7 linked regions of the Oryza sativa Japonica Group genome follow. Each later gene encodes a partner of the first gene's protein in a complex. Links are inferred from orthologs where the notes say so. Each region holds a gene or a part of one and is shown in the gene's direction. Other genes may lie near its edges.

Region 1 (4,039 bases):
GTAATAACTATTCGAACAATCTTTGCCTGCACCATATCTGTTAGTTAAACAACAGGCCTTGGTTTACTGAATGGTTTCTTTTCTGTAGTATCCATCCCTTCATAGCTTTTGTGTTTTTCTTTCTTGTGATCACAGGTGAAGAACTTAAAGGACCAATATTTTCCTGAATTAAATGATTTGTACAATAAGATCTCTTTGAAGCTACAGCATGTTGACAACATGGTTCCACCTCAAAAGCCAACAGAACAGTATGAAAAGATGAAGAATTTCAAACTGATGTTGGAGCGTACAATGCATGTTCTGCAATTGAACAAGGGCAACATTCAGCCTGCCCTTAGGGACAAAATTCCTGCGTACGAGAGGCAAATTATCAGTATCCTAAATTCGCAAAAGAGGCCAAGGGTGCAAGGCCAGCAGACACAATTTCAACAATCTGCTGGGCAAGGTCCTACCTCTAACATTCCGCAACAACAACAACCTTCCCAAGGTTTGCAGCAGCATGATAACCATACTAATCAGATGCCTCAAGCAAGCATGCCAAGTATGAGCACCGGATTACAATCCTCAGGTGCAGCTGGTATCCAACATTTACCTGCATCCCCAGCAACAAACTTTGGTGTTCCAGCAACACAGCAAAATGTCACAAATGCACCACAGGCTACCTCTAATTTGGAGGTTACTCAAGGAAGCAATTTTAATTCTTTGCAGCATGGTTCAATGAGTGGTGCTTTGCAACAGGGAAGCACTGGGCCCATGCAGGGTACACTGAATGCACAACAGCAGGCCAGTAGTAGCATGTTATCTCACAACTCAGTAGGTACAATGCAGGCTAATGCCAATTCCATGCAAGCCAACGCAAATTCATTACAGCAGCTGAAGCAGCAACAGCAGGAGCATCATATGATGCAGAATCAGCAAATGAAGCGTCAAATGTTTCAGCAGTTCCAGCAAAAACAAATGCTTCAGCAGCAACTCCCAGCACAGCAACAATTACAGAAACAGCAGCAATCACAGATGCAGGTTCCACAGCATCATTCTGGAAATGATGCAAACGAGCTGAAGGTTAGACAAGGAGCTGCAATGAAACCTGGGATTTATCAACAGCACTTGGCTCAGCGCAATAACTTTTATAATCAGCAAATGAAACAGGGCAGTGCTTTCCCAATTTCGTCACCACAAAACCTCCAAGCATCATCCCCCCAAATTTCACACCATTCTCCTCAGGTTGATCAGCACAATCTCTTGCCGTCTCAAGTGAAGACCGGGACACCATTGCAGTCAGCTAACTCACCATATATGCCATCTCCATCGCCACCTGTTGCCCCGTCTCCTATACCAGTGGATTCAGAGAAACCACTCTCCAATTTATCATCATCACTTACTAATACTGGTCAGGCTACACATCAGCAAACAAACATGGCGCCTCAGTCACAATCAATCGCCGTTAACACTCCAGGGATCTCGGCCTCACCCTTGTTGGCAGAATTTACAAGTGTTGATGGAAATCAGGCTAACATGCCAACCCAAGTTCTAACCAAATCAAGTGCAGCAGAAAGGCCTTTAGACCGCTTACTTAAAGCGGTCAGTAACTTTGCCAACTTTTTATTTACTGTCTTTTCTTCGTTTCTGTAGTGCAAAATAAATTTATTATTTAATCAGTGCTATTCTGAGTATATTTTAAAGCGTAATTAACTATGGCATAAAGAACACAGTAGGCTCAGCTAAAATATTTAGTTCAGGAGTTATATATGCCATGCCTTTTGCTTGTAACCTCGTGCACCTACCTTGCTAAAGTTAATACAAACATTACCCTGTTTCAATCAACTAGTTTATCAAACGATAACTAAAATGATGCCCAAAGGTTGCAGCAGATCTCAGATAAGTATATCGTAAATTCTGAACTTGATAATTATGTCAAAAAGGGATACTATGCTAAAATCCCAGTCACATGCACATATGCGTGTGCTAAGGGATTATGCAAATAACACACATGTTAGATCTGTACACAAATATTTTGAAGTCAAGGGGATGCAAAGCATGGGAGTCATCATGCCTGGTCATTTCATGTTACTGCTTATTTAAAGTTGACTCTTTGAGTCTTGACATCTGAAGAACTTGATAGGTTTAGCATTGACCTATTTTATTTATTTCTCTTCACTATTGCTCTGTGGAATCTAGCTATGTTTTCCGGATAGCCTGTTTTGCTGCTGTGCTAAAAGAGAAGAAATCATTAATACCTTTTATTCCCCTCAAATTAGCTTCCTTAAACAAATTTTGATCATATAGAAGGCATATACCCTCCCTTTAGATTGAAATTGAGGATTTACCTTCCTGTCCCTTTTTTTTTCTTGCATGATTCATGTCCCTTGTGTTCTGTATGGCAGTTGCGGACAACACAACGCCAGTCCTTGAGTGCTGCAGTAAGCGACATAGGTTCTGTTGTCAGCATGATTGACAGGATTGCTGGGTCTGCGCCTGGTAATGGTTCTAGAGCTGCTGTTGGTGAAGATTTAGTTGCTATGACAAAGTGCCGATTGCAAGCCAGGAATTTCATAACACATGATGGGACCGGTACATCAAAGAAAATGAAGCGTGACACTAGTGCTATGCCTCTTAATGTGTCATCAGCTGGAAGTGTTAATGACAGTTTGAAGCAAACATTCAGCATAGGTACCCCTGAATTGCAGTCAACTGCAACCTCACGTGTAAAGTGGCAAAAAACCGAGGTATGCTCTTTATTATTTCATAGGGATCAATACATTATATGCCTCAGTGATCAGCTTCACAATCGTTTGTATAGATGAAACTTAGTGGCATGATGAATAAACTAAAATATCATGATTATCCAGCTGTTTTGTTTCCACAATGACTTCCATTACATATATGGGCCCAGAGAAGGGAAGTATAGTTAAATTGACGGGAGCTATTCTAAATTTTTGGCTACCTTTATTATTTATCTTGTCTCTGGTGCACCTGCAGATAAACCATGCTCTTATGGAGGAAATACATGAGATAAACCAACAGCTCATAGATACAGAGCTCCATGTTTGCGAGGATGATGCTGAGTCTTTTGGTGCTACATCAGAAGGGACAGAAGGGACAGTCATCAAATGCACATTTACTGCTGTGGCTGTTAGCCCCAGCTTGAAGTCCATGTTTGCATCAGCACAGATGGTAAGCTTCTCAAAGCATGATCTGTGGTATCGGCTTTTATTGTTCGCTGATGTTCCATGTTAAAAATGTGTGGCAGAGTCCAATTTTGCCATTGAGGGTGCTTGTCCCCGCTAGCTACCCTAAGTGCTCCCCGGTTCTCCTAGACAAGTTCCCAGATGAACAAAGGTCAGTATCCAATGTTTTATCAGATTCTACGCCAGGTACTACATATTAGGCTGTCCTGATTCTCTGTACATAAATAAACTAAGGATGTTGCATTGTGCTTGTGAATCTGCTATAGAAACTCGGATGACCTGTCGACCAAAGCGAGGTCGAAGTTCAGCATATTGCTTCGGGGTTTAGCTGAGCCCATGTCACTAAGAGAAATTGCGAGGACGTGGGACGCGTGTGCCCGCAAAGTAATTGCTGAGTATGCTCAACAGACTGGTGGAGGCAGTTTCAGTTCGAGCTATGGTTGTTGGGAAAATTGCGTGGGTGCTTAATCCCCATTCTTCTTCAGTCCTGCTGGCACCAATCTTCGTTTTGCATCGATATTGTGCGATCGCTTGCACGCCCTTAACTGGAACGGTTAATGCATCGCTCTATAAATATATGCACATAAATATATGTAACCATAATTAACATTTTAGCAAACATGCAATTGCTACTGGTGTGTACTTATTTATTATGTGTGGTTGTACTTTTGGAAATCCTCCCTGTTTACTAGCTGGATTTGGTAGCGGCCCCTCTTGTACAGAACAGTCTACATCTCCAGCCTGGTTTGATTCTAATATAAATATACTGTGAGATCGCTGCTCGTAATATATGTTGTGTATTGACAACAGTTGAAGGACGTGTGATTTTCTGAGATGTGCTGAGACCAGTT
Region 2 (4,039 bases), on another chromosome or scaffold:
GAAAGTTAACCATTTACCTTGTCAATATAATAAAGTTCCTTTTTCAAGTGGACAGCTGATGGGAATATAAATTTCAAATGTTCTATTGATGCACCCTTTTCACTATTTTTTCTTTTAGAACGTGAAACTTTTACCTCAAGAAATTAAATTTGCTTACCATTATTGTCAGATATGTGCAAGTCTTTGGTAACTGTCTGTTGCCTATATTCATTCTTTCTTTTTTATGCTGTTGCAGAGACTCAGTGCTGGCAAGATTGGCTTTTATTTGCTGACATTTTTTTCTTTCTGATGAAAAGTGGCTGTATTGATTTTCTTGATTTCGTGGACAAGCTTGCATCTCGAGTAACAAATAGTGATCAACAGATTCTTCGCAGTAATCATGTCACTTGGTTACTCGCACAGATTATCCGCATTGAGATTGTGATGAACACCCTTAGTTCGGACCCAAGGAAGGTGATGTCTCTTTCTAAGATCATCTGCAAACACCTCTTTCTTTTGGTGAATCATATTCAATTGATTAGTTGATGACATGATTTTGGTACCAAAAAAAGATTTCCTCATGAAAATATTCAGAGTGCTTTATTTTGTTTCGTGCTCATCTTTTGGGAACTGCAAGGACTAACAAGTAATAACAGCGATCGACAAACTCAGCTAAACTAATCTCACATCCAATTGCTATAAAACTTTAAATACATACAAACTTTTGGTAATACTTCTAATGTTTCCTTTCATGATGTCTTGTGGTTGTCTTAATTTACCGTCTATAACTCTATATACCATTCTGGTATTTCTTCTGTTACCAGGTTGAAACTACAAGGAAGATAATTTCGTTCCACAAAGAAGACAAGAGCCTTGATCCAAATAATATCAGTCCTCAAAGTATTCTTCTTGATTTCATAAGTAGCAGCCAAACTTTGCGGATTTGGTCTTTCAACACTTCAATTAGAGAGCATTTGAACAGTGATCAGCTTCAGAAAGGCAAACAGATAGATGAGTGGTGGAGACAAATGACAAAAGGTACTTGGTACTTGTCCTTATTCATGGAATATGAAAGTATCACTATGCTTTTGATATAAAATATTGCCTGGTAGATCTAGAATTCATGGAAAAGAAATTCTCCGGTAGATTCTGGGTAGGCAATATGGACTGATTAAGTGTAGAAAATTCTACATAGTAACACCACAACTCATAATTCAGGAGGTGGATACATTTTCTTGAAAAGAGAGATATTTGGCTGTAAACCATTACTGTTATTTTCAATTTTGTCCCCATTCATGTATCTGTAATAAAGCTTTGTTACTGTTTCCCTTGCAATAATAGCTTCTGGGGAGAGGATGATAGATTTTACGAGCTTGGATGAGCGGGCGATGGGCATGTTTTGGGTTCTCTCCTTCACCATGGCACAACCAGCATGTGAAGCAGTCATGAACTGGTTTACATCAGTAGGAGTAGCAGATTTAATTCAGGGACCCAATTTGCAGCCAAATGAAAGAATGACAATGATGCGTGAAACTTATCCACTGTCTATGTCATTGCTTTCTGGGTTGTCTATCAATCTATGTTTGAAACTTGCTTTCCAGCTTGAAGAGACCATATTTCTTGGCCAGGTAAAAACACTGTTGCTGCTTATCTTTATTATTATTTTTTTAACTCTGCTCTTTATGGTTTGGAGACCAGTGCTCATGTGCCTTTAATTATTACTGAAAAACATCAGAATCAATATGTTACAATCTATCCTGAGTAAAAATAAAATGACAAGCAATTCATATGTTTATCTTTTATCTATTAAGATCTCCTGGCATAATAGCTCATGTTAATGAACTTAGCTGTAATATATGAATGATTTATAACTTTATATGTTAATGGTATATGACCAGCTCATCATTTTTGATCTTCGGAATGACTTTGCTAGAAGTGCCCATATAATCACAACTATATGTTCTTCTGTTGACGTACTAATGTCCATCTCTCTTTACCATACACTAATTTTCTTACATAATTCTTCTGTTCTTTGGTAGAATGTTCCTAGCATTGCTATAGTGGAAACCTATGTTAGACTGCTGCTTATAACCCCTCATTCATTGTTCCGCCCGCATTTTACGGTAAGTCTTGCCTCCTGTTGTAATCTGTAGTATTCATGTGAAGTTTATGGCTTTATGCTACCTTGTGATTAACAGTTGATTATTCATTTGCTCTGATTTCTAAATTAACTTTCTGCAATTGTAAGCATAATTCAGTTTCCTCAATAACATGCAATTCATATTCCTTTTTAAACTCTGATGTCTTCCTATGGTTTTATTAAACCTTGCAGACATTAACACAAAGATCTCCATCTATCCTGAGCAAATCTGGTGTGTCTCTGCTCCTACTTGAGATACTGAATTACAGGCTACTTCCTCTATACAGGTAATTTAAGTAATTTAATATTTGTTTTCTGCTATTTGCCTTGAAAGCCTTTTCTTATCATGCATATCCACAATTGGAATGTCTGACCTCAGCAAAAAAGGTTTGATGATCATTTAGAAAAAATCTTAGTGTTTTGTTCCATTTATTGTTTATATTATGGTGCACCTTTTGGTTTACATCTATGTGAATTTCTTCTGCTCAGGTATCATGGGAAAAGCAAGGCATTGATGTATGATGTTACAAAGATAATATCAATGATTAAAGTCAAACGTGGAGAGCATCGTCTTTTTAGATTAGCAGAAAATTTGTGCATGAATTTGATTCTCTCACTAAGAGACTTCTTTTTGGTGAAAAAAGAATTGAAGGTAACCTGCTTCATCTGGAAATTTCACCTGTTACTAAATTCGCATAAAGTGAACTTCTTTATTTATGTAAATGTAGGGTCCAACTGAGTTTACTGAAACACTTAACCGCATAACGATAATAAGCCTTGCTATCACCATGAAGACACGTGGAATTGCTGAGGTCGAACATATAATTCATCTTCAACCATTATTAGAGCAAATTATGGCAACGAGCCAGCATACATGGTCAGAGAAGACTCTAAGATATTTTCCTCCCCTTATTCGAGATTTTTTAATGGGGAGGATGGATAAGAGAGGCCAAGCTATCCAAGCATGGCAGCAGGTACTATTATCTTATCTTTTGGATTGAGTACTTGGTGTCTTGGCCATTTATATGCTCCTTTTGACTATTATATGGAGTTCATATACATTCGTCGAATAACAATTTAGGGAGTTTATAGTTCTTTTGTATCAGTTGTTGCCAAATCATGCTGCTGTTAGTTGATTTTTTTAAAACCATGTAATCACTCTTTTATAAGCAGTCTATTGATGGAGAATGTACTGATGGATTTTACACTTTTTTATGTACTATTACTATTACAAACGGCAATGAATTCTTTCACCTCTAGAATGGTATTAGCTGGCTAAGATAAAAATTGCAGTCTTGTTTTGAAATAGGCTTAGATTAGCAGTATAGCAAGACTAGTTTTAGAAAATTGTAAGATCTCGAAAAGTCTTGAATTTCCAAGCCAGTACTATTTCTGGTGTCCTTTAGTTGCTATAACATGCTTATTAAATGAAATGCTTTTCTAGGGCAAAATATTCCTTACCTTTTATGCTTGATGATTTATCTTCCATTGCAGGCTGAGACAACTGTTATTAATCAATGTAATCAGCTACTCTCACCATCTGCTGAGCCAACCTATGTTATGACATATTTAAGTCACAGTTTCCCTCAGCATCGTCAATATCTTTGTGCTGGTGCTTGGATGCTGATGAACGGACATCTAGAGATCAACAGTGCAAATCTTGTATGATTTCTAATTAGCAATTATATTGACATAAAAGATTCTCTCTATGTATATATGTCTTTTTAATCTTACTGCAGGCCCGTGTTTTGAGAGAGTTTTCACCCGAAGAAGTTACAGCAAATATTTATACAATGGTTGATGTTCTTCTGCATCATATCCAACTTGAGCTGCAAAGAGGGCATCAAATTCAGGTGTTCTGCCTTTTTTTTTCTTTTCTTATTCGGTGTGCTAAAAACACTCTTGTTGGCTGTTTGTTTA
Region 3 (4,076 bases), on another chromosome or scaffold:
ACTACATTTTACATGTTTTCATGAGGTACTGCTAGTAGCTACTCAACGGTTGCTTAGGCTTGATTCGTTTATCTGGGTTGGGAACCTTTCATCGAACACGCTAAATGGAGTGGTAGATTTACACATGATTAATTAAGTATTAGCTAAAAGTATACACATGGAAAATGATAGGGTATAAGTTGGAAAAGCTTGCTGTGTTCTTTGTTCAGAGTTCCCAACCCCTCTACCTCGTGTTCCGTGCGCACGCTTTTCAAACTTCTAAACGGTGTATTTTTTAAAAAAAGTTTCTATATAAAAGTTACTTAAAAAATAAATTAATCTATTTTTGAAAAAAAGCTAATACTTAATTAATCACGCGCTAATGGACTGCTCTGTTTTCTGTGCGTACTGTTCCGGTTGGGAATCAGAGATACCGAACACATCCTAAAAGAACACGACTTTGATATTCCTTAGGGGAATGCTAGGAATCGGTCGCTCAGGGGAGGGAGAAAAATCGGGCGCTCCCTCCTCCCACGACGCGCACTGCCCTGGGCCCCACCACGTCTCTACCCCCACCTGCCACTTATCTCTATCACATACTCCATTGCAACAAATCACCTATATATTTTGGAAACACTCTATTAAGGGAATACATTTCATTTTTTTCCACGAAGAATGTTTTACCTTTTATACCCACAATATTCCACTGTGTATAGATCTAATGTCGCAGTGAACTGAAACATTCTTTCACTATTTGCTGAAACATTATTTTTATATAAGGTGAAACAACGCCCGACTTAAACTATTGAAACATTTTCGATCTCTTAGTGAAAAAATTCCGATATACTTGGTAGAATATCGTGCAACATTTTAAAATAATTCAATAATAAGCTAAATTTTTTTTCATCGGAATATATCTATGTGTGTGATCTTGTTTTGAAGATTTAATTGCAACGAATTTAATGGTGAAATCATGATTTGGATAAATAATTTAAGAGAAAAATTAGTTTAAAGTAGTTTTGCACGCATGCGTCATACTGATGTCAGCGTCCGATTTTTCTCCAAACCCATCGGTCGCCCGACGCGTAGGCTCCTCTTATTCCTTGAATTAGAATAGGTATGGCTACACGCCTACACGCACACAAGATAGATGAGGTGGGTGAGGCGGAGCAGAGGATCCGGCGGGCTGGGACCACCTCGTGTTGGTGCCTGGTGGTGATGCAGTGGGCGAAGTGGTTACACCAACGCGCACCACCACCACCATCTCTCTCTCTCTCTCTCTCTCTTCCTCCTTCCCACCAAACAAACATCCCACGCTTCGTCCCTCCCACTCCACTCCCCACCCCCGCGACGCCTGCGGCGACGACGACGGCGACGGCGAGGAAGGCTGGCCACGGCACGCGGCGGCGAGTAGTCCAGCATGGCGGCGCCCTCGGCGGCGGCGGCGTGGGTGGACTGGGCCGCGGAGTACACCAAGGCGGCCCAGGCGGAGTCGCGCCCGCCCGCGGAGTGGGCCGCGCGGGTGGCCTCCGTCGTCGCCGCCGCCGGGGACGCGCCGTGGTCGCCCGGGCTCGCCGAGATGCTCGCCCGCGCGCTGCTGTATGGCGGTGGCGGCGCGGCGTGGAAGTACGCCGAGGCAGCGCTCGCCGCGGGCCTCGCGTCGCCGGCGCTGCTCCTCGCGATCCTCTCCACCAGGTACGGACGGCGCGGCGCCCCCGCTCCCATCCATTGCCCTCCCCCCACGCGCGCGCAGTGGCGTTTGTGCGCGCGCGCGGGGAGAGACGAATTTGCGTGCGTGGTATCTGACATGGGCTCCTGCTCACGTGGGGTGTACTGTCTGATGGAATCCGCGCAATCGCGATCGGATCAGGCTACTAGTTTCGATCTATGAGATTTCCCTCGCAACCAGATTACCACAAATGCAAGTTGTTCTACAGCGTGGCCTGTACATGATCATAAACAATCTGATGTTTTGGGCCCTGTAAATTTGAGAAGGAAAAGGGATGGTGGCGTGCTTACTGTGCGTAATACCCATAAATTTGAGAAGTATATGAATGGCAGTGTATGTAGAGTACTCGAGTGTGCAGTGTAATGCAGATCAATTTAATACATGTATAGCAGCAGAATACTCTGTTTCATTTTTTTCACTTTTTTTCTTCTCTCTAGAGTCTAGATCATGCTAGTTGGAATAACAAGTGCAGTTTGAAATGTGCTTTTCAGCAGTAATCGTATAACCAACTGGCGAAATCCGTGCACATTTTCAATATCTGCTATGCTGCTGTGGAATGTTCTATAAAATAGAATATAAGACTGATTGCAAATATTCCGTTGATGGTTTCTCTCCATTCAGGGTCATTCCTCACCGGTTCACAAGGCCAACTGCATATAGACTTTATCTGGAGCTCTTGCGGAGACATGGATTCAATTTTGCTTTTCAGATGAAAGCGGCGAATTTCAAAAAGTGAGGTTTCCTTCTATGAGGTGTTCCCAGTAGTTTCATAATGCACGCATTCTATGTTCAGAGGTTTCGAAATATACATCACAGGAACATGTACATCATTCTGAACGATTCAGTACTGTTCAAAAGAATTATATAAGACGGGAATTTTAATACGATATGCTGACAATTAGAGTTTTGGGTGTCTACCACAATACATCTAGACCACCTTATTGCATCTGCATACTGGACATATCAAGATCTGTTCCAAAGAGCAACAATTTGCAAAGGAAGAATTTCACCTGGTTGAAAGGGCCAGTTCTGCAGTGATACATAATATTTTCGGTTGAATTGGTTAAGGTGTCACTTTATATGTTTTCAACTCGCATATAGTTCTTTCATGTTAGTTTTTAAAGAGTTTGTTTCTTGTGACATGTCTGTTCTGTTAGCATCCTATGTTTATGCCTTGTGTAGGTATCTGTCATTCTGTCTGCAACTTATCATTCCTTTAGTTGTCTTCTAAATGCAAAGTTTCATGACACCTTCTCATATTTCCGCAGGATCATGCAATTAATAGATGATAACCTTGGTCTCTCAAAGATATTTGGCTTTTCAACATGCGAACCAGGGGTTTTTGTTGTTGAATTTACCCTTTGCATGTTATGGCAGTTGGTTGATGCTGCATTAGATGACGAAGGCCTGTTAGAGTTGATACCGGATAAGAAAGCTCATTGGCCAACTAGATCAGATGATGTGAGTGCATTTGATGGAACTTTCTCTGAACAAAGAATAGACAAAATTGACAAGTTACAGAAGATGAATAATGTGATAACTATAGAGCTCATTGGGCATCTTCTTCATGACAAAGTAATTACTCATATCCTCTCATTGGCACGCGAAAACATGTATGGCTTTTCAACTTCATGTACTGCTTTACTGAGTTATTCCAGCTCTTTCTTCCTATCACTAAAAACAGTGAATTTATCCCTTTGTTATTATATCAATTGATAGCAACTTAATTTTATTTTAGTGAGTTAATGTATGGCTTAAATATCTCTGTGTTCCATATGCACCATATAATTGAAAACATTCTCTCTATTGGCTTAAGGTTCTCAAGTCAAGCTTCTGTGTCTTCTGAGTATACAGGGTATTGCCAATATTTTTCTGGAATATATCAGATTCATTGTATTTATGGAATGGCTGTACACTTTTATAAAACAACTGTCGACCGCAATGCTAAAATGTGAACTAATAGTACTCTAGAAGGACTACTGGTTGTATGAACAAGCAAGCTTGATTGGTTGCAACTGTAATGTTCAAATGATTTTCTCTACTACTTTATAACCAAGAAGGATCACTGATAGAATCATAGAAACTCTGGCCATGGGGGACAAGCTCTGATATACTCATGCCAATATTGTCTGATATTGCTGTTTGTGTTCATAACTGTACTAGAATCGTACACAAATGAACTATTGGGATAACAGTACATTGGTAGAAGGCATTCGTTTAAACTTCCAAAGTGGGGATCAAGGGCATCCTTAAGACACCACAACTGAATTCACTTACTGTTTTTATTTTTTATTTTTTTGAAAAAGTATGCTACTTTAATTTGTTATTATTACCACCAGTACTAACGAGTCTTGATGATTCAGGCAAT
Region 4 (4,604 bases), on another chromosome or scaffold:
CTGAGTCAATTTTCTATAAGACATAACTATCACCTGATTAAATGAAACGGTTGATTACTTGTTAGGAATTTTACACTAATAAACATAGAGTACTCTACTCTACTAATGATAGTGTACACAGACCTAAAGATAAAAGGAAAATATAAAGTCCTTATCGGACACTAAACACACTTTTCTAAAGATAAAAAGGAAACTAACAAACTATTCCTAATTAATAGATAAACTGCCATGCCGCATCCTCTTTAAACTCGGTCACTTAGAGATAAGCTTCCTTTAGTAGATTGATTTCCTTAACCGAATATAGCAGGAATTCGACTATTGGTGACTTGATAACTCTCATCGGCTGATTCCGAGATGCTACAGCCGATAATGATTCTAAGCCGATGACGCCTTTGTCGATTATCAAATTTCACTGTTAATAGATAGCTCAGTTTTTTATAAATAGAAAGGAGTATTTGCCGCCTAAATATTTTCTTTGATGATACAGCGTATATTGCTAATCAATCTTGATCGCCATTTACTAATCCAAGATTTCGCTACTACATTAGCACCTTGTTTTGAAAAGGATGCTAAAAGTACTCCATTCTTTTTCTATTCAAAAAAGAAGAAGCTATACAGAGCATAAATATTTCTTTGATCCTACGGTGTACTACTGTGCTATACTATATCAAACCATCGATTGGCATTTACTAATCCAATACTATTTCCTCGCACCATGTTTCGAAAATGATGCCAAAAATAGTCCATTGGGCCTCAACAATTAATAGTACTCCTAAAGCACATTCTCCATTCCATAAAAAAACCACCCTATTACCGAAACGTGACACATTCTAATACCACAAATATATTTATATAGATACAATCCAAGTTTACTTTTTAAAATTTGAGTGGCCTACGGCGGCTACGGTTGCATGCACGTATTTTCTTGGTTCCATAAAAAAAATAACATAGTGTTGAACGTCTATTCAGATTTATAGTATTAAAATATATCATATTTCGTACTAATTTAGTCTTTTATAGAATTGAGAGAGTACTCTATTCATCTAAAAATGGACAATCCTTCGTAAGTTGAGTTTTTCTTTTGGGATGGAGGTGGGTACGTGCATACAACTGGTTCACATACTATAGACACTTATATATGAAACAAATAAGAGGATGATCCTATTATATAATAACAGTGATATTATGGTAGATGATGCTCACCTACCCAAGTTTGAAAACTAAACTTGAATTAAGTGGATATCAAACGGGAATCATTAGCCCAATAAACAAAAAACGAATGCTACTATTACCAACCAAACACTACAGGAAAGAGTAGTACTAGTCCCACTCCCACCAACAACAGTTGAGATCCTCTCCAGTACTGCATGTGCCGTACTGCTCACTAATATGTGGGCCCGAGGGGCTATAGGGCTCACATGTCAGGGAGCCTACTGCATGAGAGGACCTGCATCCCACCAACAACTCGACAGGGTCAAAGCCGAGAAACAGCCACGAGGCCGCCTCCCTCTCCAAAACCGTAGTGACCTCGCCCTGTGTGGCTGTGTCCCCAAACCCGGTAAAAAAAAGGGCCCCCCCGGAAAGTCCTAGACCGAGAAAAGCTGCGACCTCCGTTGCGCGAGAGAGAGAACGAGACGAACGGAAGGAGTTGGGAAAGGGAGACGCGAGATTTGTTGTTACCACTAGGAGGCCATGGTGGTGGTGGTGGTGTGCGTGCGGGGGAATTAGGAGGAGGAGTAGTTGTTGTTGTTTGGTAGAGTCGAGCTTGCGTAGTTCTCGTGGGCTCTCGTTTTTGCGTTGCGTGTGCCTCGCCATCCGCCGCGTCCCTATCCAACCCCCCTCCCCGCATTCCCTCTCCCCCTCGTCGTCGTCGTCTTCCTCCTCCTGCGGCGGCGACGGCACAGATAAGATTTGGTTAGGAGCTGTTTTGTTTGTTGGGTTGAAATCGTCAAGTAACGTGGACGTGGGGGTGAAGCAAAGGAAGGGAGGGGAGATTGGGTTTGGGTGGTGTGAGGATTGATTTGTTTTTTTTTTTTGGGGTTTTCTCTTCTTGATTGATTCGTTCTTGGCGTTGAGGAGAGGCAGCGGTGTTCGTTAGATTGATTTTTCGCTGTCTCGGGAGAATTTCGCTTTCCCGGTTGGGGGATTCCCTCGGTGGGGGGCATCTGATTCGCGATCGGGTTGGATTAGATTCTTTTGGTGCAACGTAATCTGATAAGGGGAAAAAGAAATTTCAAGATTGTGAGGAGGAGGAGGAGGAGGTGATCGAGAGAGGGCATCGATTCTTGGTGGTGCCAGGGGAGCCATCGGAGTCGTGGGGGTGGAGGTGGAGGTGGGGGGAGCCCGATCTCGGGTGGCCGCGGCGGCGATGGCCGACCGGCTGGATCGGTGGCGCGAGCTCCTCCGCGGGGCGGCCGGCTCCGCCGGAATCTGCGACGTGATCGAGAACGCCATCCTCGTCGCCGCCGCCGACGCGCCGCAGGAGCTCCTGCGCCGCCGCGACCGCATCTGCGAGATCCTCTTCACCGCGCCGCGCGCCCCGCCCTGCCACCACGGGTGCGGCAGCGCCGCCACCCCGACCCCGGCCACCCCCGTGGAGGAGGACAAGGGCAGCGTGCGCCGCGTCCCCGAGAAGCAGAGCAAGGTGGACAGCAGCAGCAACGGCGCCCTCGGCGGCGGCGGCGGCCGCCGCGACGACGTCGATGACGACTCTGACTCTGACTCCGACGACGAGCGCCTCCGCCGCGCCGCGGCGAGCAACTACGGTCACAACTACGATGATGACGACGAGGAGGAAGAGGAGGAGCAGGAGGCGGCGCCGGCTGAAGAGGACGAAGAACAAGAGCTGGACCCCGAGGCTGTGGAGCTTGAGGCACTCACCAACGAGATCGACGAGGAGTCACAGGTCGTCGGCGAGGTTCTCCGCATCAAGGACCTCTTCTTGCACAAGGAAGATCATGTATGATGAACTATTCCCAGCTTTCAGTTCTTCCATGAGTAAGAGTTGTGCCATTCCTCAACAGGGACTTAACATTTGATCTCAACTGTGGTTTTCGCAGTCGGATGCTACTTTGTTCGAATCACTGAGGAGGCTGCAGCTGATGCAATTGTCCGTTTCCACGCTGAAGGTACTGTGTTGGATAGCGCATATGAGCTATGCGGAGTGACGCATAGTGGTTCTGTTTGGTTTGCTAATCTCCGATGTTGTTTGTTGTAGGCTACTGAGATTGGGAGGGCTGTTAATGGGCTGCGGAAGCACAACTCGCAGCAAATTCGTCACCTTGTGCGCACTCTCATTGAGTAAGTTCAATATGCTTGCACTAAATTTCATTCTCTAGGGCTGATCTAGCTTTTAATTTAGAGAACTTGCTGAAGCAAATTGATACTCTACTGTACCTATAAGTTTCTGAAAACATGATACGAGTCTACTGATTTAGCTTCTGTATTCTCCAGTCTTTGTACTACTTGAGTGAATTATTTACCTTATTTGTAGTGTGGTTATTAACCAATTTTGGAAACATTGTTGACGTCTTAAAACATTTTTTTTTCAGAGGTTGGAAAATTTTGGTTGATGAGTGGGTCAGCACCACTAATGTTGCCCTTACAGGTAATAAAAGTTATTTTGTTTCATATCGCGTATGAGTCATCAATTTGTAAGTGAATGTTCACCTCTTAACATGTAATGGATCTTTTGATCTGTAGACAACTCCCCGGGCTCTTCAAAAACATCTGTTGTCGATGATGCTGATGATGAAGGGCTTCCTTCTCCACCTCTGGATGAAGGGGCGTTCTTTGCAACCCAGACTACTGCTATTCAACTCTCTGAGGTACTAATTTTTGTTTGTTCCTGGTATCTGGATTGTTTTGGTCCAGAACACAATTCTAACTTTGCATTGTTGTTTTTCTTTCTGCTTCATCTTCCTGACCTAAAGTTCTTTGATGAAATGGATGAAGATGGAAGTAAGTACAACAACTCAAATTACATAGTTTCCCTTTTTTTTCTGTGCACTATAATAATTCAAGTTATACATTTTATGACAGACTTGAGACATAACAATGATGGGAGCCTTGGAAATAAGAGAGAAAATTATGGCAGGAGGCCTACAAGCCATCCAGCTTTGACAAAGCAAGAGCCTCCCCGTAACATGGGAGCTGTTGAAAAAGTTCAATCCAGGAGGCCGGAATTGGCAAGGCAAGAGCCATCAATGAGGCAGGCTAACCCACAAACCCCTCAAAATTCAAGTTTGCAAGTCAAACAGCAGGCCATGCTTCACAAGCAATCTAAGCCCTTGAGTTCTGATTCTGGACCTGGGAGACCATTAAGGGCAGCTCCTCAGCAGAAGCCCTTTGTTGAGATGAAATCTAGACTGGCTCGAGAGCAGGTTGCTGTTGAAAGAAAACCTGCAGCGAGCCATGTGGATGTAAGTATATATGCTATTACTAAGGCCTAATAGTATGATAATCCTCAGAACATCATGACTTAAATATCTGAACTTTGGTTCTAGAAATCGAGGCTTCCTGCACAACCTTCAGCAGGAGTCAAGCTAGAGTCGGCAAAGCCAAAGATCTATGATGGTTTGGAAAGCAATAGTAGGCTGGAAGCA
Region 5 (4,519 bases), on another chromosome or scaffold:
CGTCCCCTCCTCCCTCTTTTACTTTTATCTTCTTTCTTCCCTATCCTTTCCCTACATGGTGATGAGCTCTAGTTGGGAAGGCGGTCGGTAGAACAAGGGAAGACGATAGGGATGCCACTGAGCATCTGACGAAGGTGACTCTTCCCAATTCCCATTCCACCCCCTTCCTGGGATCAGGAGAGGACACCGACCACCGCTCTTCGGTACGGTGGAGCAAACGAAGTGTCGTCTAAGAGGTGGCTAGAGACGGGCGGGAGACGTTGGACTCCAGCAATCGAGGACACACATGTCGACATTTCCTATCTCTGGAGAAGCTTCATCAAGATCGAGCTCGCTTGCCTCATTGGATTTGCCTCGTTGCCCTCACCAAGAACGGTAGCGGAACAAGGTTGCCACGCCCACCAAGGATAGGGGGCATGTGCTCGCCATTGCCTACAGCTTGAGTCTGTCATTAAGGTCAACGACATGGACGACGTGCTCCAGCGAGCCATCGAGGATGACCTCCCCCTCGGTGGCAATGATGACTACAAGAGCTCGTCGACATCTACCCCTTGTCCTCCGACGGGTGGTGGCTATCCCTTGGCCATGCAGAGATATGCACGTGACCCTCCTCTCTCTCTCCCTCACTATTGCCATGTATGGCTCCACAACATATAAAGGAGAAGGACTCTTAGATCTCGATGACAGCGAGGTCAATCACCATCCTTGTCCATTGCTAGGCCTTATTAACCGAGGCGTTGATAGAGGTGAAGGTGGGAAAAGGACGTCGGATTAGAGGAGGCGACAGAGAGAAGGGGAAGTGGCTTGAGGCTCGGATCTGTGAAGGAGAAACACTGATGGGACCCGGCTTTGTCCAGATCAGTGAGGGGCCTCGGTGTGGCAACCGTTGGAGCCCACAATGAAGAGGACATCTACGGCAGCACTGGGCCTCTCCGACTCTCCATCACCGCTGTGGCCCTTCCCTCCTTTGCTCCACAAGGTTGCCAACAGAACCAAGCTTAGTTGGTTGTGTCGGTGGTGGCTTTGTCGTCTAAGTCACTGACACTATTCATGCTTGAGCTCGTCACCGCGTGGAGAAAGGAGAGGGAAGAAAAGAAAAAACAAAAGCATGAGGAGAAAGAGAAGGGGACGACATGTGGGTCCCACATGCTGACTTAATCGGTTAGACCAGTTCAATGAGCCACGTTAACGAAAACCACCCTCAAAATAACTAAAAAGAGTTTTTTTATTCACCGGTGTTAATAGCCGAGGGTTCGATATACACGGTTTGCGATTAAGGGAGAACGAATCAGATTGGACCTATAGTCGAGGGAGACAAATTGGACTTATTCCGCTCAAATACTAGGGCCCTGATAAGGCCAGGCCTGGGCTTCGAGCTTCGGCCCAAAATCAACATATCCTTTGGGCTTTTGGACTATGTTGGGCTCTGAAGCTAAGCTTAGTTCACTTCACAGCCAGCGCCGACGAGAGGAGGAGCAGATCGGCTAGGGTTCCGGCGATGGCCTCCTCGGCGGCGGCGCGGCGGCGGCAGGAGATGGCGGCGGAGGGGCAGCGCCACCTGGAGGAGACCATCGCCGCCGCGTTCCAGATCCTCTCCTCCATGAACGACGAGCTCTGCAACCCCACGCTCTGGTCCTCCTCCTCCGCCGCCGCCGCCGCGGCGGGCGGCGCCGGCGGACTCCAGCACCACGGCAACAACCACCACCACCACCACCAGCACCACCACCACCACGGCGGTCTCCCTCCGCCGCCGCCGCCGCTGCACTCCGCGGACTCCGACGCCGCCGACGCCGCCGGGGGAGGGCCCGGGGGCGCGCCGGGCTCCGGCGGGTCGCTCGACGAGGCCAGGCACCGGTACAAGGTCGCCATGGCGGCGCTCCGCACGTCCATCGCCGCCGTGTCGTCCTGTGCTCAGGTCAGCACACGAATTTACCCGACATTGCATGCTCCCGTAGTATGTATGCAACCACGAAATGCGTGTTTCTAGTGATCGTCTAGTGGAAATTGTGAAACGTATTGCACTCTTTGTTGATATCAAGTTAGGTGCTTATACATAGGTAAGGGAGCCAAATAATTTTTGCAAAAGAAAATTTCTTATTATTGATACCAATGTAAGGGAATGTAAGGGATGTTGTGATGTAGGTTCGGACTACATGGATGTGGACTATATATATGTTTCAATCAACATGAGCTTTTAGTGTTCAATGTTCATGAGACAAAAATAGTAGTTTTATATGATTCTATTTTTAGCAGTAAGTGTAATCCTGATGTGCAAAATATGGTGCTATGGAGAAACCTCATAACAGTTTACTTCTTTGTAATGATGTTGTGGTTTTCTTCGTAGGAGATGGGATCGACAGAACACAAAGCTGATCAAGCTGAGATTGAGAGATTGGAAGAACATGCATCTGCTTTGAGAAAGGTACTATCTTGGGAATGTTCTAGCAATATAATCAATATCATTTTGCTGTATTCAGAATTTTTCCCTGAACCAGTTGGTAACTGGTGCTTATTTAGCCATGTCAATCCCAAATATTTCCCAAACAACCTGTTTTGAACATAATGTGTGTGTGTGTGTGTGTGTGTATATATATATATATATATATATATATATATATATATATATATATATATATATATATATATATATATATATATATATATATATATATATATATATATATATATATATATATATATATATATATATATATATATATATATATATATGTTCCTTTTATGCTTCAATCATTTTAATTCAAAAAGTCCTGAGAAGAGTGTAATCCCCAATTTTTACCTGAAACCATTTTAGATAGCCAGGATCTAGTTTGGCAAGCTGTGATACTGTGTTGCTTGTAGTGTTTTGGATAGTCATGTTCATTCTGTTGAACTCGTCAAAAAAGCGTTCCATCTTGATCTTTCCTGGCAATATTCATGCTTGTTAAGTTGTTATCTTATCATTGTTTTTTCTGCACTGGATACTGCATGTCATTATTGTTTGCATACTTGGATTTGCCTGCTAGTTTAGAACTTACTCCCTCCGTCCCAAAATAAATAAACATAGTATGGAATGTGACACACCCTAATACTAGGAATCTGGATAGGGGTCTGTTACTAGGTTTGTTATTTTGGGACAGAGGGAGTAAGTTTTTGCAAATCCACCTTTGATGCTAATTGGATTCTGGACTATTTAGCAAATCCTTTTCATCCTTTGGAGGGCTGTTGGCTGTAATGGCCTTGTAAGTCTCAACTACTCCTTATCTATGCTAGATCATTATAGCATAAATACAGATTATTCTCCTTGATGTGTATAAATGTGTATAGAAAAATGGATTTGTGGCTTATTCAGTTCCATTTGTATGATTTATTGAGATCAGTGATTTTCATGTACTCCTATGTTTGAAGTGTAGCAAACCATAGTTATTAAGACCGGACCGGTGATCGAACTGTTAGGGTACTCGGTTCACTGGTTTATTGGTCGGACCAGTCAAACCGCCGGTTTAAAGCGGTTCAAATAGATGTGTGTTAGAATACTAGAACAACATGTGACATAGCCGGCTGAGACTCTCCGTGGAAGCAAGGAGGTCTTGGTTCGATCTTCAGTTCAGCAGGTTTTTTCCTATTTTCTCTAACTCCACGTGACACCCTCCAGCAGTCGAACCACCTTCGGTTTTTGTCTGGTTCTGCAGAAAACCGCCCGGTTCAATGGGTTTTTGCCGGTCTGTTTGCTCAACGATCTTTTAGCTGGACTGGACCAGCCAACGCCCTGGTTCCCTTTTTTTCTGATCGGACCACTGGTCTGGTCTAGTTCTAATAACTATGTAGCAAACAGTGTTCTCTAATGCCTCGATTACATAGTTTGTTCCTAAAAAGTTCAAAGCATTTCATTTTAAACATACACTGGTCAGTACAATCTCAATTAGCTGATCCCATGTGTCCTAGTTCAGATTTCTATATATGCCCGTGGTATCATGGTCTGTGGAAGTTTTGAGTCCTCACGCTTTTGACATATATAATACATTTTTTGTTTCAACCTAGTAATGTGGCATACTGTTCTCTGGTACCGTAAACCAGTCTAATACAGGATGTTTACTGCAGGAAATTGAAAGCAAAAACAAGCATGTAAAGCTCCTTATCGACCAACTCCATGATTTAATATCGGACATATCAATGTGGCAGAGTCCTTGCTCAGTGTGAAAACTCATCGGCATTTATCCTTTAGGAATCCAAAAATCATAGCTAGAAGTATGTTAATGCAAAATTGTATCAGCTGACCTTGAGAGAGAAATCTGAAGGGATACAATCAGTTTGCAAATACAATATTGTAATGATTTTTCTTTCAAGTATTCAGAAAGTGTACTATGAGTAGTGATAAACACGAAGTAGCTAGTAACTGAAACAAACATCTGGTGTATATTTTCCCACCAATTTGGCCTTGCTTTCATTTCCAAGACTTCTGTATACTCTTTGAGCAACCATGACCTCTGTACACTTTTTCCTTTGTCGAGCATGATGATAT
Region 6 (4,643 bases), on another chromosome or scaffold:
AATCTCATCTCGGGCATTCTAAGAAACAAGCTGCAGGCATCATCCACCTTCTTAATCATAAATAATGCTTTGATAAGTACATTGCATGTGACAACATCAATTGTAACACCGCTGCTCTCAAGCCTACCTTTTATTGCCATTACACCAGTTGCATCTTCTACCTTAATGTGACCATGTAACAGCGTGCTATATGTGAAGTTATCAGCAGCAATACCTTCATATATTTCAACAGCCTTCTTGGTGTGACCAACCTTACATAGACCATTTATTACTGAATTGTATGTTACGATTCCAATCTTTATCCCCTTTTTATCCATCTCTTCAAGCAAAGAGAAAGCCCTATCCAAATATCCCTTTTTGCACAAATTGTCAATCAAAATTGAGTAAACATATTCATCCACCACCACTCCTGTCTGTTCCAGTTTCCTCACTATAGAAAAAGCATCATCCAACCTGTTTCTCTTGCAGAAACCACCAATCAATGATGTATAAGTGATCAAATTCGGCTTAGCATCCCTTCGGTTCATCTCATCCAAGAATCCCATCACTTTTTCCACACTACGTTCTCTGCAAAGTCCATCAATAACAGTAGTATAACTAACTACATCAGCTGCAATGCCCTTATCTAACATCACCCGATGCTCACGGAGCCCTTTCATCAATAACCCGCTACTCATGTATCCATGAACCAAGCTGCCATATAAAACAGCATCACCAACCAACCCCTTCCCTTCCATCTCCCTTACCAATTGTGCTGCCTCAGTAGTTCTCCCTACACGGCCAAGCACATCGACAAAAGCGGTTAATGTGATCAAGCCTGGCTCAAATCCATTGAACTCTCTCCTCACCCTCCTATAGAATTCCAGCCCATCCCCAGCCTTCCCGACCTTGGAGAAGCCTGAAATGATCACGCTGCAAACACGATCATCCACCTGACACCCCGCTGCAGCCATTACGTCGAACACCTTGAGCGCGGTCTCCATGTCACCGCGGGCACACAGCATCGTCAGGGCCACACGATACGTGGACGGAGAAAACACGAGCCCGCACTCCTCTACGCCGGCGGAGAGCACCTCCAGCGCGCGGCGAGCATCGCCGCGCACCGCGCAGGCCCGGCGGAGCAGCGCGTCCCAGAGGCGGCGCGCGGAGGAGGTTGCCGGGCCGGCGAGCGCGAGGCGCGCTGCCGCGTCGCGCGGACGGGAAGAATCTAGAAGCGCCGAGGCGACCAGGAGGTGGGTGCGCGCGGTGGGGCGCACGGAGTTGGCGACCGCCTGCGAGGCGAGCGCGCCGACGAGGCGGTGCCTCCGCCGGCGGAGGAGCGCCGCCAGTAGGATGTCCACGCGGCGCGGCGTGACGGCCCTTCCGAGCTTGACCAGCGACGGGAGCGGCGGTGGTGGTCGGGGCTCGCCGCCGGCGAGCGGCATGGCGGAGGGTGGTGGTGGTGGCGCCGCCGCCGCGTGGGAAGCGAAGCGCAAACGTTCGAAACGTTGGAAGCCGATGGCGTGGGCCGAATTTGGATACGAGCTTGTTTGGATCTGGGCCTGAATAGATATGGGCTTGTATTGGTTCTGGGCCTGTTTGGATATGGGCTTATTTAGGTGAGGCGTTTCGAGTCGGAAGCGAGAAGGGGAGAAGAGGAAGATGCAGCAAGCGCAGGCGTCGGCGGTGGTGGCCGCGCCGGTGGCGGCGGCGGCGGCGGCGGCGGCGGGGGCGACGGGGCACCAGCACGAGGGGGCGAGGGGTGACGCGCCGCCGAAGCAGGTGGCGCAGGCGATGGAGCGGCTGGGGCGGGCGGGGCGGCTCATCGCGGACATCCGGCTGGGCGCGGACCGTCTGCTCGAGGCGCTCTTCGTCGCCGGCGACGCGCCCCCGCACAGCGCCCCGCAGCACGTTGAGAAGACCGCGCTCGCCGTCGCCCAGGAGGAGGCCGCCATGCACCGCCACTTCGACGACCTCCGCGCGCTCGGGAGGTAAACCCATCTCCGCCCCGTGCCCCCACACTCTCCGATTCAGAAGTTTTTCATCGATTCCTTAACCTTTGACTGTTACGTCGCAAAATACAACTAATTCCCTCCGAGAAGAACCATTCCCGTCATGATTCCACGGTTGCAGTCTCAAAATGAAAAAGGAACATTCCCGTCATGATACCACGGTTGCAGTCTCAAAATGAAAAAGAAATATTCCCGTCATGATACCACGGTTGCAGTCTCAAGAAGAAAAAGGAAAACCCTTGTCTAGATAATTTCTGGAAATTGGTGGCTGGGATATTGATTTAACTTCTTTGGATTGTATGATTGGACTTTTTTTAAAGTAATAATCTCCTTCCCAGTTTAGGCATGGCAGCACATTTTTTTTCCACTAAATTGTTCTGTAATAATGGTTAATCACCATAAACTGATGCCACACTCTTCTTTGGTGTTATCCAATTGCTTGTATCTTGTGAAACCCTTCTACCTATGAAACCTTGCTACGAGAGATGCACGGACAGGCTTAACTGCTCAACTTTGGTATATGAACTTTAGCATTCTAGAATATTGGCTGGGTGCCTGGGTCTATCAGATTGGGATGCATTTCTGGAACTCGTGTTCCTTGGCTTGTAATAGAGCAATATTTAACCTTAATTGAACAGCTTCAGCTTGAACTTGTTTTGGGGCTGTTTGGATCAGGGACTAAAATTTTAGTCCCGGTCACATCAGATGTTTAACACTAATTAGAAGTATTAAACGTAGATTAATGAAAAAATCCATTTCATAACCTTGAATTAATTCGCGAGACAAATCTATTGAGCCTAATTAATCCATGATTAGCCTATGTGATGCTACAGTACACATGTGCTAATTATGGATTAATTAGGTTTAAAAAAATTGTCTCGCGAATTAGCTCTCATTTATGCAATTAATTTTATTATTAGTCTACGTTAAATACTTCTAATTAGTATCCAAACATGCGATGTGACAGGGACTAAAATTTAGTCCCTGGATCCAAACACCACCTTAGTGCCACTCAGGGCTCGAACTAGTTTTAGTATCACTCGTGGATGGTAAGGATGTAGGGTAGGTGCTCACTCTATAATATTGTCTCAGCAGAGCAGTTATGTGTTGGGTACAATTGTTTACATGTGACCACTTGACCAGTCGTTTGTTGAAGAAGTCTGCAGGCATTTGGAAAATCCATGTTTCATGGCAACATGGTACTATTCTGTCTGATGAATAAAATGTCCAAGCAATATGAACTGCTTGTTAAACGATGGTTTTTGAGTCTTTCTGCAACCTGAAGTTGCTAGATAAACGGAAGATGAAATTTGCAGGTGATATAGTTATGATTTTAGACAGAATAGTTAGTTTGTGAAAATCCTGAAGTTAGGAGTACTAGATAAGCTTAAGCCATGTGACTGAGATTTTTTTAAGTCAAAGGATATTAGGAGCCATCTTCAATAAAGTTAGGTATGTGAACAGGATGGATTCACTCGATTTTGCTGGTGCTTTCTTATTGTTCTTTCACAGTATTCTTGTTATAGTGTTTGGGTTAGTTGTGCTTGTTGCTATTCATGATGTTTTTACTTTGTGATGAACCATCAATCATTGCTTACACAGTTCTCCTGGTAAGTTCCAATTATTTTTATTGAACTTCAAGTTTCAAGTTCCACTATTTCTTCATAAGTGTTGGCCTAGCCAACTGAAAGTAAAGATCTAGTTTTTAAACTGTAGCCTAATAAATATCTTGTATCCATTGCTGTTAGGAAGGCAATTGGAAGAGTCTGGAGTTCTAAATGGAGCCCTTAAAGCCAGAGGCAATTCATGGGGCTTGCACATGCCACTTGTTTGTCCAGATGGTGCAGTTGTGGCATATGCTTGGAAGCGTCAGCTGGCTGGTCAGGCTGGTGCATCAGCTGTTGACAGAACTAGGTAATTTCATTACCATCATTGTTGTGTTGTATGTTTGCTGCCACAATATGATGTGCTTATTTGTCTTATTTATATTCTGTTGATGTGTGAGATTTCATCAACCGTGCATTGCAGAATGCAGATTAAATATTTATACCATGTTATTTCTTCCTGCGATATACGATAATTTTCTTGGCCGATAAATTTGTACTGTTGTTTCCCTCTTTCCCCTTTAAATTTGTACTGTTGTTTCCCTCTTTCCCCTTTTTCCCTTATTTCTCCTTTTTCCCTCTTTTGTTTCTTCTTTTGCACTTTGCTTTCTCTAATCCTTCTACTATGATAATTACATTCTTCCAAGGTGTGGAGTGCTTTTGTAGGAATTGAAGTATTAGATCAGTTCTTGTTTTCGTTGCATCCATATTTTATTTTGATTTTACACAGAATGCATCGGAAATATTCCAACGCCCTTCATTCATGTGCTTCTTTAGATGTATGTACTTATGTTGAAGGCTTCAAGCCTTCGGATCATCCCCTAGTCCCCATGACAAGATACCCGAAGTTTATTACTATTTACAAAAATGGGTTACTATACTAAACTTAACAGCTATCAGCCACATGCGATTGTACCTAGTGGCCTGGCCTCACCTTTTTTAAATTTAAAATTTAAAATGTATGCCGCTGCTTAATGCACAAATTATTTGGCTTGTGAACAGGCAAGGACATATGGAATTTTTATTATCCATTTATCATGTGTTTATA
Region 7 (4,654 bases), on another chromosome or scaffold:
TCAAATACAGAATAGTAGGTCACGTAAACATGTATCTACCACCATAGATTAAACTCTGCACTTTTTTCCCTAGAAAAATTTTCATCCATCATAATACATTAAAAAAATATAGCCAAAATGTTGACACATCCAAGCAGATAATAGTAAAGCGTGCCTGGATTGTGAAAATAATGTATTAGTATCAGAAAAATGTGTATCCATAATTTCTGAGTTACTACTAGGCAAACATGAAGCCTCCATATCAATTACTATACTGAACATTTTATGCCTTCCTTCCCTTAGTCATTTAAGCCATCTGCATTCTTCTAAATCACTGCAACAACAATATTTATATAGATAGGCAACACAGCAAGTTGAGCTGTTAAAATGCACAGAAGTAAGACAATAATGAGTATCATATCATACTTTTCATTCGTTCTCCAGAATGCCCCAGCATTGTCGATAACCATCTTGAGCAACTCAAGAGACAACACCTTCCCGCGCAGCAGGACCTGATCTTCGGGATTATCCGGCGTCGAGAACTTCATGGACAGCTTGCACAGGTTCTTGAACAGTGTCAACCCATCCTCCCTGATCTTGCTCATGACAACATCCTCCTTCCCATCCGTCTCGGCCGGCTCAACCGGGGACCCCGGCTCAGGGACATCGCTTCCCTCCATCGTCTCGTTTATGAAGCTCTGCGCCGCATGGACAATGCTGGAGTCATTCAGGTTGCGGTCAGACATGTCCATCATGTCGGTGATCGACACCGTGCGCACGCGCACATCCATGGAGTCCACCTCCACGCGCGCGAACACGATCACCAGCACCTGCGCCAGCGCCAGCTTAGCGCAGAGCTGGTTGGCGCCGCTGCTGCTACTGAGGTATATGTTGTAGCAGGTCTTGAGCATCTGGCCGAGCCCTTCCCCGCGGATGGCGACGGAGGGGCACCGCGCGGCGGCCACGAGGACGCGGAGGGTGGAGAGCTCCATGGCGTCGTCGGCGAGCGCGCCGCAGGAGAGCACGGCGGCGAGCAGCTTGGAGGACGGGGAGTCGTCGTCGCCGCCGCCACCGCCGAGATCACCGACGAGGAGGCGGTGGTAGAGCAACTTGGCGACGCAGTCGAGCGCCGGGTCGGCGACCTTGGGGGACGCCGACTCGAGCGCGAGGAGGAGCGCGTGGATGCACGCGTCCGCGGCGGCCGCCGGCAACCCGAGCAGCAGCGACGGCGGCGACGGCGCCGACGCCGACGCGTACGCCGACGAGGAGAGCAGGTCGAGCGCCGCCTTGGCGGCCGCCACGAGGCCCGAGTGCTTCCGCCACGCCGCGTTCTTGATGATCCGGTCCAGCGCAGGGCCCAGCACCCGCCCCGACGGCGACGCGCCGCCGATTGCCCCCGCCGGCGAGGCCATAGTTAGCCGTCCACGCAGACTCTCACGCGCTCTACGCGGTGGTCGTCGCCGTCGCCGTCGCGGCCATTGGATCTGAGACCTCGAGACGAGGAGGAGGTGGAAGAAAATGGGAATTCGAGAGGAAGACGAGACGAGCGCGTGGGGGAGGAAGAGGAAGAGGAGAAGTCAGAGGAAGGGTATGACTGAAATTTCAGATTCTTCCAGGGGCCTAGATGCAAAAACGCCGCGACCCTTCGCGCGGGGGTGAGGCATTTTATCACTTTACCCCCCTCGGTTTCTCGGAATTCTTTCTTCTCGTCTCCATCGCTGCAGGAGGAGGAGGCGGCGGAGGACGGCGAGCGGTCAGTGGCGGAGAGGGGAGTGTTCGGGGACGCGGGGTTTGCGAGGTGGGGGGAGCTCTTGCGCCTCGGATCGGCTCACTTCCCGACGCCTCAGCCCCCGCCGCGCCGCGGATTATTGCTGTTAGGTTAAAGGTGGGGGTGAATTTTTGTTGCTGCGAGGTAGCTGTTCGACGAAATTCCGCAGCGTGGTTTCAGGGTTTGTCTCTCTTGCAGGGATTGTGGTAGCGAGAAGCGGTGGGGTTGATGGAGTGCGTGGTGCAGGGGATCATCGAGACCCAGGTTATTGTTCTTCTTTCTCACTTCGCCAGTAGACTTGTATGAGTGGTGACTGTGTGAGCGGTTGTTGAAGTGAACGGTAGTTTCTTCCGAGAATGAGTGATCTGTAGCTATGCAACGATGCATTTTTGTTCATATGAAACTGATTTGTCTGTTTATGCTGTAAAACATGACCAATTTGAACTTTTACCCGGAAAATCATACATGGCCCGTAACATAAGCCGGAGTGATGGTAGATGTGATGTTCTTCATGGATTCTTGATTTTTGTATGATGGTAGGCCTTTCTGGGAAATCGGTACTAGTCAAGTTTGCTGATCTGACATTTGCGCTCCTTACTTGTATGTTGTATCTAGAATTCTGAATTTTATTTAATTTTTGGCATAAGGTTATTTGGCCTTTCGCTTTGTAGTAACCTTATCCAAAGGAGTTGGAATGTAGAATTTCGACGTTTACTAAATGAACTTTCTATCACTTGATTTAAGATAGCATTTTTGTTGTTGGAGGTGTCAATTGCCTGAAAACAGACCTCTGTAAATGTAATTGTGATAAAACCTTTTGAAAGGTAACACTTAAGCTATCCCAGGTAGCAAATCTATCAACTGCATAGCCCCAATGTCAAATTACATCTCAATAGTCCTACTTAGGAACAAAGTTATTTTTTCACTCCATATAGCATGAAGTAGTATTGGAACTTTATGTCCATAGAGAATTTCTTTTTTCTTGAACGAAACACATCAGGGAATAGAGAATAATAATTCATGCCAGCATTAAGACTTTGTCGTCGATCCATTGTCTCTATATGACCTTTTGTTAGTCTCTTATAGCTTCCTCTTGTCAGCATATCAACACTTCCCTTCAGGATAATAAAAAAAAAGTATACAGTTGATCATGCTGACCACTATATGGTCAACCATGTTTCTCCACTCTGAGGGCACTACTTCTGCCACTTGCAGACTTTTTTTGATTCTCTTTTCAATATGTTGATATGGTTCTATTTTATATACAATTGGAGGAATCATATCACTTATATGGTTTGTAATTTTACAATAAAGGGATTAATTTATATACACATGTCAATGTCTTGTGCTTAGAACACCATTTAACCTTTTTTAGTTTTCATTGCTTTGACATCAGTGTAACTTTTGGTTGATCTTCTTGTTATGCAGCATGTTGATGCTCTTGAGGTTCTTCTCCAGGGCCTCTCTGGTGTCCCAAAAGAACGTGTCAGAGTGCATGAGCTCTGTCTTAAAAGTGGGCCAAATCTAGGTCAGTTTGCAACTTTTTCATTATTCTGATCATATGCCATTGTTACTCATATACATCTTCCAATCATACAGGAGTTGTCCCATCAGAGGTTCGTTTATTGTGTGACTTAGCTCAGTCCACGCCATCCTGGTAACTTTTCTTTCAGCTGCTAAAATTTACATTTTTGTGATATTTGATGATATTCTGAATCCAGTAGTATTCATGTAGGACCATAAGACATGTTGGAGGTGCCATGAGAGGTGCTGGTGCAGAGCAAATCTCAGTCCTTGTGCGGTCAATTGTAGAGAGCAAAGCCAGCAACAATGTATTGCGTTACTTCTACGGTATAGGGTACAAGTTAGATCATGAAGTTCTGAAGGGAGGATTTGCATTTCGTTTCCACCGAGGTGCCCAGATAACTGTGACCGTTACCTCTGTTAGCAAGATGACAAAACTCCATGCTACCAACGAAGCTGTGCCAATCACTCCTGCAATACAGCTAGTGGAAATCACGGCCCCTGCTGCTGCTGACAATTACAACGATGTCGTTTCAGCCGTCACTTCGTTCTGTGAATATCTAGCACCGTAAGTAACTAAGTGTTCCTTAGCTATCTCAAGATTATTACTAGACTGGCATAAACGAATTTTCTCACTTTTGACTGCAAAACACACTGCAGGCTTCTGCATCTCTCTAAACCAGGCAATTCGACTGGAATCGTCCCGACTGCAGGCGCTGCTGCCGCCTCACTCATGTCAAGTGGTGGTGGTGGTGGTGGTAAAACGTTGTGATCGGTCATATGTGTTGGCTGCAATGCCATGATGATCTCCATTGACCATCCCACTTAAAACATTGTTGCCATCTTTAGTTCTGTAACTTTTAGTCAGTAGCACCATGGTTTTTCTTGTAATGACATGCTAAATGCTGCCTACCTTGCTTTGGAGACTGGTAAATGAACACTGATCATTGCTTGCTTTTACTGAAGAGTGGAAACTGAATGCTGGGAAAGCTTGACGATATTGGTGGTAGACTGATAGCTGGAGTTTGTCATGATCCTGACAATATATTTGATGGTAGCTTTGTTTACTTTAATTTAGGTCACATACGTGGTAAGGATCTCATGGTTTGGGACGTTCAATTGCCCAGTAGTTTTTCTCTAGTTAATTAGTGTGCATCAAACTATTTTCTCTAGTTATTATGTAAGTCTAGCAGTCAAGTTACCAGAAATCAGAATACACTGCATGCATTACTTGCATAGTCAACAAAGTATCTCAATGACAACTGATCTTCCTAAAAGTTGCTGCAAAACGAAACAAAGCCGGAGTAACTAGAGAGGAGGGGAGAGAGCTAGGTTGCTGACAACTTGACGAGATCAACTCATCCTGATGCTCAGTGCAGGATG

What was found.
Region 2: mediator of RNA polymerase II transcription subunit 15a (region 1) and mediator of RNA polymerase II transcription subunit 23 share a complex: the UniProt entries of both Arabidopsis thaliana proteins name them as parts of the mediator complex. The link is inferred for Oryza sativa Japonica Group from reciprocal best matches to the Arabidopsis thaliana genes NRB4 and AT1G23230.
Region 3: mediator of RNA polymerase II transcription subunit 15a (region 1) and mediator of RNA polymerase II transcription subunit 33A share a complex: the UniProt entries of both Arabidopsis thaliana proteins name them as parts of the mediator complex. The link is inferred for Oryza sativa Japonica Group from reciprocal best matches to the Arabidopsis thaliana genes NRB4 and RFR1.
Region 4: mediator of RNA polymerase II transcription subunit 15a (region 1) and probable mediator of RNA polymerase II transcription subunit 26b share a complex: the UniProt entries of both Arabidopsis thaliana proteins name them as parts of the mediator complex. The link is inferred for Oryza sativa Japonica Group from reciprocal best matches to the Arabidopsis thaliana genes NRB4 and AT5G05140.
Region 5: mediator of RNA polymerase II transcription subunit 15a (region 1) and mediator of RNA polymerase II transcription subunit 30 share a complex: the UniProt entries of both Arabidopsis thaliana proteins name them as parts of the mediator complex. The link is inferred for Oryza sativa Japonica Group from reciprocal best matches to the Arabidopsis thaliana genes NRB4 and AT5G63480.
Region 6: mediator of RNA polymerase II transcription subunit 15a (region 1) and mediator of RNA polymerase II transcription subunit 27 share a complex: the UniProt entries of both Arabidopsis thaliana proteins name them as parts of the mediator complex. The link is inferred for Oryza sativa Japonica Group from reciprocal best matches to the Arabidopsis thaliana genes NRB4 and AT3G09180.
Region 7: mediator of RNA polymerase II transcription subunit 15a (region 1) and mediator of RNA polymerase II transcription subunit 18 share a complex: the UniProt entries of both Arabidopsis thaliana proteins name them as parts of the mediator complex. The link is inferred for Oryza sativa Japonica Group from reciprocal best matches to the Arabidopsis thaliana genes NRB4 and AT2G22370.

What each region holds. Positions count from the first base shown.
Region 1 is NC_089042.1:28,443,360-28,447,398, reverse strand, and holds the end of mediator of RNA polymerase II transcription subunit 15a, read left to right. Parts: intron 1-135; coding exon 136-1,581; intron 1,582-2,384; coding exon 2,385-2,726; intron 2,727-2,979; coding exon 2,980-3,174; intron 3,175-3,250; coding exon 3,251-3,339; intron 3,340-3,454; coding exon 3,455-3,656; 3' UTR 3,657-3,977; downstream 3,978-4,039. UniProt on the Arabidopsis thaliana protein: Component of the Mediator complex, a coactivator involved in the regulated transcription of nearly all RNA polymerase II-dependent genes.
Region 2 is NC_089036.1:31,041,714-31,045,752, reverse strand, and holds part of mediator of RNA polymerase II transcription subunit 23, read left to right. Parts: intron 1-235; coding exon 236-453; intron 454-803; coding exon 804-1,017; intron 1,018-1,320; coding exon 1,321-1,607; intron 1,608-2,018; coding exon 2,019-2,102; intron 2,103-2,311; coding exon 2,312-2,406; intron 2,407-2,608; coding exon 2,609-2,771; intron 2,772-2,847; coding exon 2,848-3,093; intron 3,094-3,613; coding exon 3,614-3,781; intron 3,782-3,858; coding exon 3,859-3,972; intron 3,973-4,039. UniProt on the Arabidopsis thaliana protein: Component of the Mediator complex, a coactivator involved in the regulated transcription of nearly all RNA polymerase II-dependent genes.
Region 3 is NC_089041.1:6,111,273-6,115,348, forward strand, and holds the start of mediator of RNA polymerase II transcription subunit 33A, read left to right. Parts: upstream 1-1,276; 5' UTR 1,277-1,399; coding exon 1,400-1,674; intron 1,675-2,329; coding exon 2,330-2,440; intron 2,441-2,976; coding exon 2,977-3,321; intron 3,322-4,071; coding exon 4,072-4,076. UniProt on the Arabidopsis thaliana protein: Component of the Mediator complex, a coactivator involved in the regulated transcription of nearly all RNA polymerase II-dependent genes.
Region 4 is NC_089039.1:20,347,000-20,351,603, reverse strand, and holds the start of probable mediator of RNA polymerase II transcription subunit 26b, read left to right. Parts: upstream 1-1,543; 5' UTR 1,544-2,368; coding exon 2,369-2,959; intron 2,960-3,059; coding exon 3,060-3,128; intron 3,129-3,217; coding exon 3,218-3,300; intron 3,301-3,551; coding exon 3,552-3,607; intron 3,608-3,702; coding exon 3,703-3,827; intron 3,828-3,932; coding exon 3,933-3,960; intron 3,961-4,041; coding exon 4,042-4,421; intron 4,422-4,505; coding exon 4,506-4,604. UniProt on the Arabidopsis thaliana protein: Component of the Mediator complex, a coactivator involved in the regulated transcription of nearly all RNA polymerase II-dependent genes.
Region 5 is NC_089038.1:19,469,023-19,473,541, reverse strand, and holds the start of mediator of RNA polymerase II transcription subunit 30, read left to right. Parts: upstream 1-1,428; 5' UTR 1,429-1,498; coding exon 1,499-1,915; intron 1,916-2,344; coding exon 2,345-2,422; intron 2,423-4,098; coding exon 4,099-4,197; 3' UTR 4,198-4,519. UniProt on the Arabidopsis thaliana protein: Component of the Mediator complex, a coactivator involved in the regulated transcription of nearly all RNA polymerase II-dependent genes.
Region 6 is NC_089035.1:8,936,336-8,940,978, forward strand, and holds the start of mediator of RNA polymerase II transcription subunit 27, read left to right. Parts: upstream 1-1,616; 5' UTR 1,617-1,641; coding exon 1,642-1,970; intron 1,971-3,743; coding exon 3,744-3,905; intron 3,906-4,643. Other genes in the region: pentatricopeptide repeat-containing protein At5g57250, mitochondrial, read right to left, coding at 1-1,424. UniProt on the Arabidopsis thaliana protein: Component of the Mediator complex, a coactivator involved in the regulated transcription of nearly all RNA polymerase II-dependent genes.
Region 7 is NC_089036.1:5,237,690-5,242,343, forward strand, and holds mediator of RNA polymerase II transcription subunit 18, read left to right. Parts: upstream 1-1,671; 5' UTR 1,672-1,864; intron 1,865-1,945; 5' UTR 1,946-1,975; coding exon 1,976-2,011; intron 2,012-3,175; coding exon 3,176-3,275; intron 3,276-3,346; coding exon 3,347-3,404; intron 3,405-3,482; coding exon 3,483-3,839; intron 3,840-3,931; coding exon 3,932-4,043; 3' UTR 4,044-4,231; downstream 4,232-4,654. Other genes in the region: brefeldin A-inhibited guanine nucleotide-exchange protein 1, read right to left, coding at 406-1,391. UniProt on the Arabidopsis thaliana protein: Component of the Mediator complex, a coactivator involved in the regulated transcription of nearly all RNA polymerase II-dependent genes.